Linked DNA regions of Rattus norvegicus. The protein of the gene in region 1 interacts with the protein of each later gene in a pairwise test. Links are inferred from orthologs where the notes say so. Each region holds a gene or a part of one and is shown on either strand. Other genes may lie near its edges.

Region 1 (3,510 bases):
CACTGTGCTCCCCAACCACCTTGAATGAATTACAGCATACTTCCCTTTGCATCTTGCTCTACCCTTTCCCTTGTTTTATTAACTCTGCAGCACTTATCCTCACCTGACACATTTTATTTTCTCATAGTGTGTCTCTTCACTCAAGTGTGATCTTCATGAGAACAGAGATGTACTGTTTGCTCACTGCTGCCTTTCATAGCACCTAGAACAATGACTGGCACATAGCACGTGATCAATAAACATTTGTTGAAGAAATGGATGTCATAATTTACACTCATAAAATCTATGAATCTTTTCTGGTACATTTAGACAGCACTATATTGAAATGTGGTCCAAACTGGTAAGTGCCACTACTAACCCTGTATACACTGTGAAACTGCTGTAACTGCTGTCATTTTTGCAAGAATTCTCACATCATCTGTGAGATGTGGTTTATACATACAAGAATAAATTAAGGCAGTAAAGTGAAGCTGTACACAGAATATTAATTAATACAGCTCAGTCTCCAATATTATTATATTGAAATACATCAGCAGAAGTCCTACTATTCTTATTCTCTCACTAGGAGACACATACCTTGTATGTTTTGGAAACTTTATATATAACACTAACACTCTATCATCTGTAAGTCTGAAGGATACCTCACCCTGTTTAATAACCTCTTGTAAGCCACTACTTCCTAGTTATTAACACTAACCACTGGTAGCTGGCTCAAATAACCATGCAAGTTTAACACATTCTCCTGGTTTAGCATATTTCATGAAAAAGAAACACACATTACATCTCCATACAGTCCAGACTTTCAGGAGTCCAGGTTTCCTTTTTCAAACATGTATTTTTAAAGTTATAAGCATAGCTCACTGTGATAAAAATGTTATTCTTGAAAAGACAAACCCAGATTTCTATCAAAGTTAAGGACATTTAATACTTGAGTTTAAATTATTTTGCCCCAAGATAAGAATAAAAGTAAGAATAAAGGCACAATTAAATATCATATTCTATTAATTAAAAACTGTATTATGTATTTTGTAATAGCAAAAACTTTCTGTAAGTGAAAGAGAAGTAAGGGTGATTTGTGCTCAGCATCACTTGACCTATTACTATCCAAAATGGGTCTGGTCTCTAAAACTCTTGACTAGCAGGCCAAGCTCTAGAGAAGAATGCAGGTATGGAGTTAGTGCTGAGATCATATGGAGGATGGCAAGACTGTATTCCCTAAAATACAGGCTAAGTCACAGGACTACTTATCACTGTGGTTTCTCAAAACGAGGCTTTGACTTGGCTAATACTGTCACTGCTTGTTAGTAATGTCCATTCCTAGTATCTTCAGGAAATTCACCGGACAACAGTTCTCTACCCTGAAAGTGTTAAAGCAAACCAGAAGTACAAAGGGAAGAAAAAAGTAGAGGAGGTAACATCAACTCTACAGCTTGACATAATGCTGACGAAACCTGATGTGGGTTTAATGACAAGAACAGCCTGGTTCCAGGACAAAGGAGCAAGCACCTTTCCTCTTCGTGAAAATATCAGTCAGTTCTGGCTACCATACAAGAAAAACACAGCAGATCCACTCTAGAAAACAGCCAAGGCTGAGCAAGAGAAATTAAACATATACCATATAATAAATGCTGAAGAAAAATAGAAGCTTGTTGAATCTTGATATGTTTCTGTATAGTAGGAAGAGTGTGGGGAAAGAAGGGAAAGGAAGAAGTTTGACAGAAACAGTTAGATTTGCTTAGTTCCTGTGGTCAGCAGGTCCCCATTTTAGAAAGGCATTCTCTGTCTAACTACACAGTATTTCAGCAGTTAGGCTTCATGTCTAACTGTCCAGTCCTCAGGAGGTACAGCTTCCTTTTCACAAGGTGTTCGTGCATTCTGGGCTGGCTATCAGCTGGAGGAGAGCTGTTAGAGACCTGAGCAGTAACTAAGCAGTGAGCAGTGCAACAGAGGCGTACAGTTGGACTCAAACCCTGAAATTCCATGTTCACAGAGAAGGACAAAGACATACATAATTTCTCACCTTCCTTTCTAAAAGTAATTTTCTTCAAATCTAGTACCTAGGACTCACCTGAGTTCCGGAGAAAAGTCTTTTTAAGTCCTTACAGGAAGACTGTGAAGTAAAAAATATGAAACGGGAGGCTGGGGTTATGGCCTACTTGCATGAATGTTTAGTCTTTGCTCGCTTTTCCTTCAATTAGCTGATCTGCAAAGAATTGTCCTGTTACTGCTCTTGGGTCCCTAGACCTAAGTAGTCCTCTTCAGATGTCTAGAATGCCTTTATTCCCTTTACCCCAAAGGAGCAACCTCTCCAAAGAATCAGATATGTGATACAATCAATGACCCTCATGATGTACCTTCTAGATACTGTATTATTTCAGAGTTACATACTCTACCTAAAAGTTCAACAGACAATTCGATGTCTGATGTGATCTCTAGTACAAATCTTATCTCAGGTAAGACTATTAATTAATCTTTAGCAACCCTTTCCCCATACAAACTTCGTCTCATTTTAAGTTGATTATCCTTAATTTAGGTACATCAGTCTTACAGTGTTTCCCAACATTTCCACTTATCACATGTATTAATATCTATCTCTCTAAATAAATGCTTTTTCTTTTGAAGCTTAAAAAAAGTAATTTTCTTTAGATATGACTTGGCATATATAACTGAACTATGCAGATTCAACATACTCCTTTACTACCAAGCAAAATAAATCTAAACTAATGTGTCCTTATTTTCACAACTAATGAAAGGAGACAGAAATGGCTACAAACAAGTTATTGAAGTACATATAGAGCTTGTCGCACACATACCTGAACTGTTTGGACTTGTGGAGACTGAATAACTGATGGCTGGGCCGCCTGGATGACCCCATGGACCTGGACTGTCTGCCCATTGGGCAGCTGCACTAAGGTTACAGTGGGAGCAGATGACGTCGCATGAGCTGCTGGCATGGATACCTACAGAAAACACGGAAAGCAATGACCACCACAGCAACCTCTGTGGGACTACTCAGGTTTAACATAAAGTGACTTCTAATAAGCAAAACTATGACCTTCCTACTTAATACATATTTTAACAATGTGCAAGAAACCAACAATTTAAAACTCTTTCCTGCCTGCTTTTTATATTCAAGCTTTCTTTCTTTCTTTTTAAATTAAAGGCTGAGTAATAAGGATTATATTTACTTAAAGACAAAAATATGCCGAGACTGATTCACCCAATGTCAACAACAGACATGCTGGCCTTAAGCACACAAGTTTTCAGAACACCCTGATATTAAACCATGTTTTAAAATCTTAACTTTTCCAGTCTGGGCAATAAGAACTTACTAAGTTCAGAACAACACATTTAGACTAATTACAAATATGTTTTTAACAAGAAAGCAAATGCATTGTAATTAAAATTTTCAATTTCTCCTATTCATAAAAAACACTAATCTGGTAACAGGTGGATTTTAAGACATGTTTTCATTTTGGATGAATAAAGGAGCAGAGCTGAAAGAATATT
Region 2 (4,310 bases), on another chromosome or scaffold:
TACACTTGTAACCCCAGAATTGGGTAGTAGAGATAAGTGGATGCAGAAAGCTCACTGGCTACCCACATTAGCCAAAATGGCAAGCTTCCAGGTCACTAGCAGATTCAAGGCTATAAGGAAGTGTGACCAGAAAACACCCAATGTCCTGCTCCGGCCTCTGCATGTGTGGACACACGTGTCCATACATAAATGCTTCAACTGGAGGGGAGCAGCAGGCTTGCAAGTGACCAGTTTATTGATAGGGGGTTGTGCTGAGCAGAAATGGCAGTGGGCATAGAGCTGTGAGTGCATTATCTTTATATGTATGGTGTATGGGTAACTATAAGAACATGCACCCGTGTTCATATGGAAGCTAAAGGAGGACATCAGATGTCCTCCATCACTCTTTGCCTTATTCCTTTGGGGCAGGGTCTTACTGAACCAGAAGTTTGCATCTCTGGAGTAGGTGGGAAGTGAGCAAACCCCAGTGATACTCTCATCCACCTTGCTCAGAGCTGGGACTGAACTCCAGTCTTCGTGCTTGAACAGCAAGAGCTCTTAACTGCTGAGTGATCTCTCTAGACCCTTCAAGGGCTTTATGAATGAAAAAAAAAATAGGTTGAAGAGACGGGATTTGGTGATATAATATATTGGATGTAGGCACGAAGGCAGACAGTGCTGGTGTGATATTTGATGTCTATGTTCAGGACAACATGGAAGTCTTAGAGTAGGAAATAGTTCAGTTTGGATAGGAATTTGAGGTGCAGAGAGAAGACATGTTCCTGTAATATTTAGTAAGCAAGTAAGCAGATAGGCACAGTCTTGAACTCCAGTAAGTATCTGGGTGGAACTGGCACAAGGAGCCATCAGAATAAACATGAAATCTTAGGGCAAGAGCCTGGGAGGAAGTGAGGGTCCGAGAAAAGGAAGCTTGTGATTTAGGCATGGACAGGGGCTTGGGAGAATGGGGGTTGACGGGAGCAAACGGAAGGCTCTAGGCTTAATCAACAGTGAAAACAAGAGAAAACTGAAAACTGGAGATGATGGTGCTCCCATGGGAGAGTGACTGAAAGGATGGGACAAACCAAGAGCATCCCCGATCATATGAAGCAAGCATGCAGGGCAAGCCTGAATTCAGACCGTGCTTCAGCACCGTGCAGTCCTGTGTACACCCTGACAAGTTTCTCACGCTGGATTATAGAAGTGTAGACACTGTTGACCTCAGTGGTTAGTTTAATGTAGTATATTCTGCATATTATCTACCACCGCATGGCAGACACCCAGTAACAAAGGGGCCACAGGGGAGACTTACCGGTTGTGTAAAGTGTCTTTTGTAATGAATATGTTCCAAATTGCACTTGGTTTCAAGCTTCGTGGCCAACAGTGAGAAAAGGTGTATGGAACTTGGGACCGTGGAAGTTCTGTAACTAAGACATGGAAGTAACAACAGCCAGCCAAGACAAAAAGAATGTTCTTTTCTTTCCCCTTCCAAGTTCTTAGTGAAGGGCCAAGCCCAGCATCCCAGACTTGTGTGACTGGGTAAACACTGGGACACTAACTTCACTTCAGTACCCTCCCTTCAGAAGCTCAAGGTGGCTTCTCGGTAGACAGAGGCTTCTAAGTATCAAAGCTCCCCACTGCGCAAGCCCAACATCATGGGGAAGGGAGACACCTCGGAAACAGCATCAGCCACTCCAGCCTATCGCTCTGTCATGGAGGAGTATGGCTATGAGGTGGGCAAGGTCATTGGCCATGGCTCCTATGGAACTGTCTATGAGGCTTACTACACCAAGCAGAAGGTCATGGTGGCTGTCAAGATCATCTCAAAGAAGAAGGCCTCTGAAGACTACCTTAACAAGTTCCTACCACGTGAGATACAGGTCAGAAAGGGAGCTGAAAGAGGGAACCGAGGCTTATTAATGAGCTCCTTGAGGTATCGGGGTGGATATGGAAACCTCCAAACCAGAACTGAATGTCTTAAGTAGGAAAATTCTGTAATATATATATATACATACATATATATATATATGTATGTATATATATATATCATATCTCCTCTTATGTGCAAACATTCAGTTTATTAACCATCCCCCCATGCAAAGTGGGATTTGCTCAGACACCAGCTGATTCTGTTGCAAAGTAGCAATGGGAGAGTGGAGAAAGGCCAGCGTAACTGGAGTTTGCCAGGTTTGATGGTTCCCTCTTTTGGGATCAGGTAATGAAAGTCTTACGGCACAAGTACCTCATCAACTTCTATCAGGCCATTGAGACCACGTCCCGAGTGTACATCATTTTGGAGCTGGCTCAGGGCGGTGATGTCTTGGAATGGATCCAACGCTATGGGGCCTGCTCTGAGACCCTTGCTGGCAAGTGGTTCTCCCAGATGGCCTTGGGCATCGCTTACCTGCACAGCAAGGGCATCGTGCACCGGTGAGGACAGTCACCGCACTGGGCTCTGGGTTCTCGAGGGAGTTTTATGCATATTGCCCATTTTCTGTCCCTTTCTCTTGACTTCTCTCGATATATACGTCCATTTGTTCACCATATTGTAGCCCTCTGGTCAAGGACACTTGTATCCACTGTGCGAGAGCACATTATACACAATGGTGAACTAGTGGTCCAAAGGTACCATCCTCTCTCCCTTTTGGGCTCTGCTCACAACTCCATGGCTTTGCTTCCTCTTTCCTTCCCATAGACCCCTCGCTCCCACTTGTCCTGTCCTCGTCTCTAGCCTCTGACCCCTTCCTTTCAGCTCCCGGTCTAATACTAAGCCCTCTCCCCAGCCTGACCCCCAGCCTTTCTGCTGCTGGTAGGGACTTAAAGTTGGAGAACCTGTTGCTGGACAAGCGGGAGAATGTGAAGATATCGGATTTTGGCTTCGCCAAGATGGTGCCTTCTAGCCAGCCTGTGCGTAGTAGCCCTTCTTACCGCCAAATGAACTGCCTTTCCCACCTCAGCCAGACCTACTGTGGCAGCTTTGCTTACGCCTGCCCGGAGATCTTGCTAGGCTTGCCTTACAACCCTTTCCTGTCTGACACCTGGAGCATGGGCGTCATCCTCTACACCCTAGTGGTCGCACGGCTGCCTTTTGATGACACCAATCTCAAGAAGCTGCTGAGAGAAACCCAGAAGGAGGTCACTTTCCCAGCTAATCTCACCATCTCCCAGGAGTGCAAGGTGCTGGCTCCCCCAGGAGGGCTGTGGCCTTAGGGATGACCCATGGGGAGGGGGAAGGAAATACCAAACTTAGGCCTTCCAACAACCCGCCCACCCCAGGGGTGGCTTTGGTCAGGCCAGAGCCGGCTCTAGCTCCTACTCAAAGTGGTGGGAAGGCCTTAGGAGGGTCAACCACTGAGCTTCAAGCCTTAAATATGCTTGGTAATGAGGTTCCAGCAATGATCCCTTTAGGGCAGAAGGGATTATGCAAGGAGCTCTTCTCTTTTCTTGCAGGGCTCCAGCATAAAACCAGGGCCCCAGCCCCCTTCACCAGAGTAGTGCGATGGGCCATCCTGCTTCTTCCTTAGGTCCAGCTGCTCAGTGCCTGTGCTCACAAAGGGGGACAAGCTCAGCCAAGCCCTCTCTCTCCCCTGCCCTAGAACCTGATCCTCCAGTTGCTACGCCCAGCTACCAAGCGTGCCACCATCCTAGATGTCCTCAGGGACCCCTGGATGCTCAAGTTCCAGTCTGAGCAACCCTCGAACGAAATCAGGCTGCTGGAGGCCATGTATCAACCCGCCAGCACCACCGCTAATCGCCACCAATCCTTGGAAATCACAACTTGAAAGTGGCTGAGGCAGGAGGTTAAGGAAAAAAGCAATAGAGACTGGGGGGAAAATCTTTTCTATAAAATAAACCTAATTAGTTTCATCATGATGTAGGGTCAAAGACATTCTTTTCTCAAGAGAGTCTTAGTGGAGACCACTACTGCAGGGTGGGTTTCTGCCCAAAGCCTGTAACCTCTTGACACCTGTGACAGTTAATGAAATTGACTCGGGGAAGCTTTACCGTGCTGACTAAGTTTGTGAGTTTGAGGCTCTTACTTCACATTTTTGTTCTCTAATGCTCTAGTGGCAGATGGGACGGGGCAGGGATGTGTGGAGACTGGGGGTGGTGGAGGAGGGGGGGGTTAGTTTTGTTTTGATTTGGACTGGCCTATATACAGTTCAAAGCCATGGCATTGTCCTTTCTGTTCTGTGTTTGCTCCTAACTTGGGTCAAAGTTTTAACTGGGAAGAAGAGTTACCAAAAGGGAACAGACAGGCCTGGTTTCTAGGGACCTCCAGTGTCACTTTAGTCACTACTGAAAGAATGGCCTCGATGCAGGGCTCCATG
Region 3 (4,153 bases), on another chromosome or scaffold:
CACTGCATGTGTGTCTGTGTGTGTACATGTGTACAGAGGACGGTGTCTGGTGTATTTTTCTAATCCCTTCTATCAGTTCCTTAGAGGCAGAGCCTCTCACTGAACTTGCAGCTCATCTTTCAGTAGAATGATTGGCCAGTTCCTATCTGCAGTTCGCTAACACGGAGGTCACAGGCACCCATGGCCATGCCCAGCTGGAGATTTGAACTCAGCTCCTCCTACTTGGTACAGTCAATGCTATTATGACGGAGCCTTCTCTAAAGTTCTAATTTTTTTCATTTGTTTTTTTGTTTTGTTTTGTTTTGTTTTGTTTTCCTGAGAGAGGGTTTCTCTGGGTAGCCCTGATGGTTCTGGTAATTGCTTTGTAGACCAGGATGGCTTTGAACTCACAGAGAACTGCCTGCCTCTGCTGGGTTTAAAGGCACGTGCCACCATGCCTGTCCTTAGCTCTAATTGTAAATTTAAAAAAATTTGCTTATGCATCTGTGTGTGTGCACATGCTACATATGTATTTAACTTCTTGCCGAGGCCGGAGGAAGGCATTAGATACTTTAGAACCAGAGTGAGCTGCCCCACGGAATCACAAAGTCACCCTTAATCTCTGAGCCATCTCTCATCTCTCCAGCCCCCTCTTTTCTTTCTTTTTTTTCTCTAATCTCAGTGTCATGTGTCACAGGATGGTTTGAACTTCCCATCCCCCTGGCTCCAGCTGGTTCAACCATCACACTCAGCACTGTCCTTGCAGAAGGCGCAACACTTCTACCATCTGAAGCCTTATTATAATTGTGTGTGTGTGTGTGTGTGTGTGTGTGTGTGTGTGTGTGTGTGTGTGTGTGTGTGTTGCTGGGGACCGAACCCTGGCTTCTGCCTGGGAACTCTCCCCAGGACCCCTGCCTCCATTCCTGGTAGGAGGCTTGCTCCCCTCCCCGGCTGTGTACCCCATTAGCCCAGGAACCACTTCTGTTTGCTCACGCCTGTGCCCTGGTATACAGCAGACGCTCTACAAGTCCTCAGTGAATGCTGGATTCCAGTGAATGCAGGTATCAGTTCTTCGCCACTCAAGTCCCTGGTTGATGGGACAGGACCCACAACTAGGCGACCGCTGTCCAGCGGGCCACGCGCGCTACCGTGCGCCTGCGTAGCCACTCCCCTCCCGGGCTCCCAACGCACTGCCCAGGCAGCGCAGGCGTATTCACCTACACCCCCCACCTCCGCGCCTCATGCCTCTCCGGTGCGCCTGCGCTACGCTCTGGGCCATGCATGCGCCTGCGCGTTGCTCTCCGGCCGTGGGCCCGGCCGGCGCCTGCGCTGTGGCGCCCGCGAGTGGGGGGGCGAGGAGGTGGAGGAGGAGTAGGAGGAGGAGGAGGCGGCGAGAAGATGGCGACTTCGAACAATCCGCGGAAATTTAGCGAGAAGATCGCACTGCACAACCAGAAGCAGGCGGAGGAGACGGCGGCCTTCGAGGAGGTCATGAAGGACCTGAGCCTGACGCGAGCCGCGCGGGTGAGAGCGCGGGGGAGGGGAGGGGAGGAGGGAGGGGAGGAGGAAGAGACGCGGGGGCGGGGCTGCGGCCGCCGCAGGTGTCCCCACGCCGCCAGCCGGTGCAGAGCGGCTGCTCGCGAGATTGCTCTTTGGACTGGACAGGTGGTCCCATCGCAGCTACCTGAGGGGACAGGTGTCATCTATTATTGTTGCCGGAGGGGACATGTGCCCTCTTCATAGCTATCAGAATGGACACGTGTCACCCCCCTGATTGCTACCTGATGGTACAGGGACTCCATCATTGCTACCTCATAGGACCTACGACTCCATCATTGCTACCTGGTGGGGCAGGTGTCATCCTTCATTGCCACCTGTGGGGATAGGTGGCCCCACCATTGCTACCTTCAGGGATAGTTGTTCCCGTTGTGTTATCTATGTGGATAAGCGGCCCCATTGTTGCTACCTGAGGGTATAGTTGTCACCCTTTATGCTTAGTGGACAGGTCTCCATTATTGCTACCTGAGTGGACGGTTGTCACCCTTCATTTCTACTTAAAGGAGAGGTGTCCCTTCATCGTTATCTGAGGCACAGTTGTCACGCCTTTGCCACCTGAGGAGGAGGTGATACTGTAGCATCATCACCTGTTCCTTCCTTGGGTGCTCCTACTTCTGCGTGGAGCAGATGTTATCCCTCTTGGGTAGCTGAGTGGTCTTCCATGTTTGGAATCAGCATAGAGGTGGTTGCTTGGTTCCCATGCAGCCTCTGTGCTGGGGACCAGGCTGTGGGCCTCTATTCATGACAGGGAACAGCTGCCACCAGACTGAGATGGAGGGTGTAACTGCCTCAGGTGGCTGGGCCATTTGACAAGCATGTCTGGCCTTGCTGGGTTCTTGGCCAAATGGAGTGGACGTGGGACCTGATCCTTTCATGTCAAGTGTGTGGTGTCAGATGTTCCTCAAGGGTCAAGGAGGTGATGCTGCAGTGTGGCATGTTCTGCACACCCTTAGGCCTGGGTTCTGAGTCCCACGTGACCTGTCAGGGGCACTTAAGTGAGGCTTTGATTCATCAGGGGCTCCTTTGGGTCAGGTGGTTTTATAATCAGGTGCTTGTTTTTCCAAGATTGTGGCATCATAGACAAAATGAGCATTTGAATGTGGTGGCTTCCTCACTTTCAACCAGACTCTGTCCCCAGAGCCCTCAGGAGGGGGGACACGTGTTCTCCCTTAGCATATTGAAAAAGGCATTGAGAAAGGGCAGTGTGTCATCTGCTGGGTGGAGATCGTGGTGCACAACTTTAATCCTAGCACTCGGAAGGCGGAGGCAGGCAGATCTCTGTGAGTTCAAGGCCAGCCTGGTCTACTGAGGGAGTTCCAGGGCAGCAGAGGTACACAGAGAAACTCTATCTCCAAAACCAAACCAAACCAAACAAAAAAGTGTGTCATCCTTGTGTCACTTAGAAGGCAGCCGAGTCTGCTTCTTGTTTCTAGCACATAGTAGGTGTCAGTATACAGTTGGTGTCAAATGTTTGCAGTGTAACCAGAGCAAAGAGCTTCATGGCTGAAGTTTTGACAGACATCTGGTTTCTTCATGGGATTGAGAGTGGAAAAGATGACTGAGGCAAGGTCTCATGTAGCACAGGCTAGCCTTGATCTCACTGAGTAGCTGAGGATGACTTTGGACACTCCTGCTTCCGCTTCCTGAGTCCTCGGAGGACAGGTCCTGAAAGGACGTACCAGCCTGGTTGGAATGTAGTTGAGAAGTAAGGTCTGTTTGTGACCCGTGGCTTCTAAATTTATTCCTTGAATCATGTGACCACACCACTGTCTTCTAGAACAGTTTTGTTGCCCTAGAGAAGCTTGGTCCTTCAGCAGCCTGAGCCACATCCCCTCCCTGTGGGTACAGCTGTTCTGGGATCACAGCCCTCTGTCTTTGTGGAGTTGGTCCCCACACTCCAACCATCCATGTCCCATTCCTCATTAATAATGCGGCAAGTTGGTGAGAGCTCGCTTCGTGAAAGTGCTGTCCACCAAGCCTGGGAACCTGAGTTCAGAATATATGTAACAGGTGGGTACAGTCACACGTGCCTGTCTCTCAGCAGTCTGAAGGCTGAGGCAGGGAGATTGCTGTGAGTGTGAGGTCTTTAACGATAGCCTAGGCCATAAAGCAAGGCAAATCTCAAAAAGAAAGAAAGAAAAGAAAAGAAGAGAGAGAAGAAAAAAGAAAGGTGTGTGGGGTGTGTGTGTAGGGGGAGCTGCTGAGGTCATGGTGTGTGTAGTAAGGTAAAGTGCTTGTCAAAAAGCCCAGGGACTTGGTCCCCAGCATGCACTGAGGCCACTGAACTCAGCCAGGAGGATATCAAGGCTCCACCCACCCCAGCCTGTCTAGCCACTCAGTGAAATGGTAGACTGGAGAGATGCTCTGTGGTACCAGCATTGGCTGAGGGCTCATGTTCATTTCCCATCATCCACAGCAGACAGTTTACAACTGCCAGTGACTCCAGCTCCAAGGGGATCTTGGGCACCTGAACTCACATGCAGCTGCACACACTACTCATAATTTAAAAATCAAAATTGGCCAGGCATGGTGGTGATGCATATCTCCGATCCCAGCAGAGGCAGGAGGCTCTCTGTGAGTTTGAGGCCAGCCTCTTCTACAGAGGGAGTTCCAGGAT

The links.
Region 2: the proteins of Creb1 (region 1) and Tssk4 interact in binary tests that used the Homo sapiens proteins (3 or more experiments, as listed by UniProt). The link is inferred for Rattus norvegicus from reciprocal best matches to the Homo sapiens genes CREB1 and TSSK4.
Region 3: the proteins of Creb1 (region 1) and Crtc1 interact in binary tests that used the Homo sapiens proteins (3 or more experiments, as listed by UniProt). The link is inferred for Rattus norvegicus from reciprocal best matches to the Homo sapiens genes CREB1 and CRTC1.

What each region holds. Positions count from the first base shown.
Region 1 is NC_086027.1:73,421,718-73,425,227, reverse strand, and holds part of Creb1 (cyclic AMP-responsive element-binding protein 1), read right to left. Parts: exon of another isoform or gene 2,961-3,510; coding exon 2,814-2,960; exon of another isoform or gene 2,111-2,813; coding exon of another isoform or gene 2,069-2,110; exon of another isoform or gene 113-2,068; coding exon of another isoform or gene 104-112; exon of another isoform or gene 1-103.
Region 2 is NC_086033.1:33,110,232-33,114,541, forward strand, and holds Tssk4 (testis-specific serine/threonine-protein kinase 4), read left to right. Parts: upstream 1-1,502; 5' UTR 1,503-1,634; coding exon 1,635-1,859; intron 1,860-2,194; coding exon 2,195-2,409; intron 2,410-2,731; exon of another isoform or gene 2,732-2,762; coding exon 2,763-3,156; intron 3,157-3,429; coding exon of another isoform or gene 3,430-3,474; exon of another isoform or gene 3,475-3,575; coding exon 3,576-3,761; 3' UTR 3,762-3,852; downstream 3,853-4,310. UniProt on the Homo sapiens protein: Serine/threonine kinase which is involved in male germ cell development and in mature sperm function. May be involved in the Cre/Creb signaling pathway. Phosphorylates CREB1 on 'Ser-133' in vitro and can stimulate Cre/Creb pathway in cells.
Region 3 is NC_086034.1:19,020,865-19,025,017, forward strand, and holds the start of Crtc1 (CREB-regulated transcription coactivator 1), read left to right. Parts: upstream 1-1,345; 5' UTR 1,346-1,377; coding exon 1,378-1,503; intron 1,504-4,153. UniProt on the Homo sapiens protein: Transcriptional coactivator for CREB1 which activates transcription through both consensus and variant cAMP response element (CRE) sites.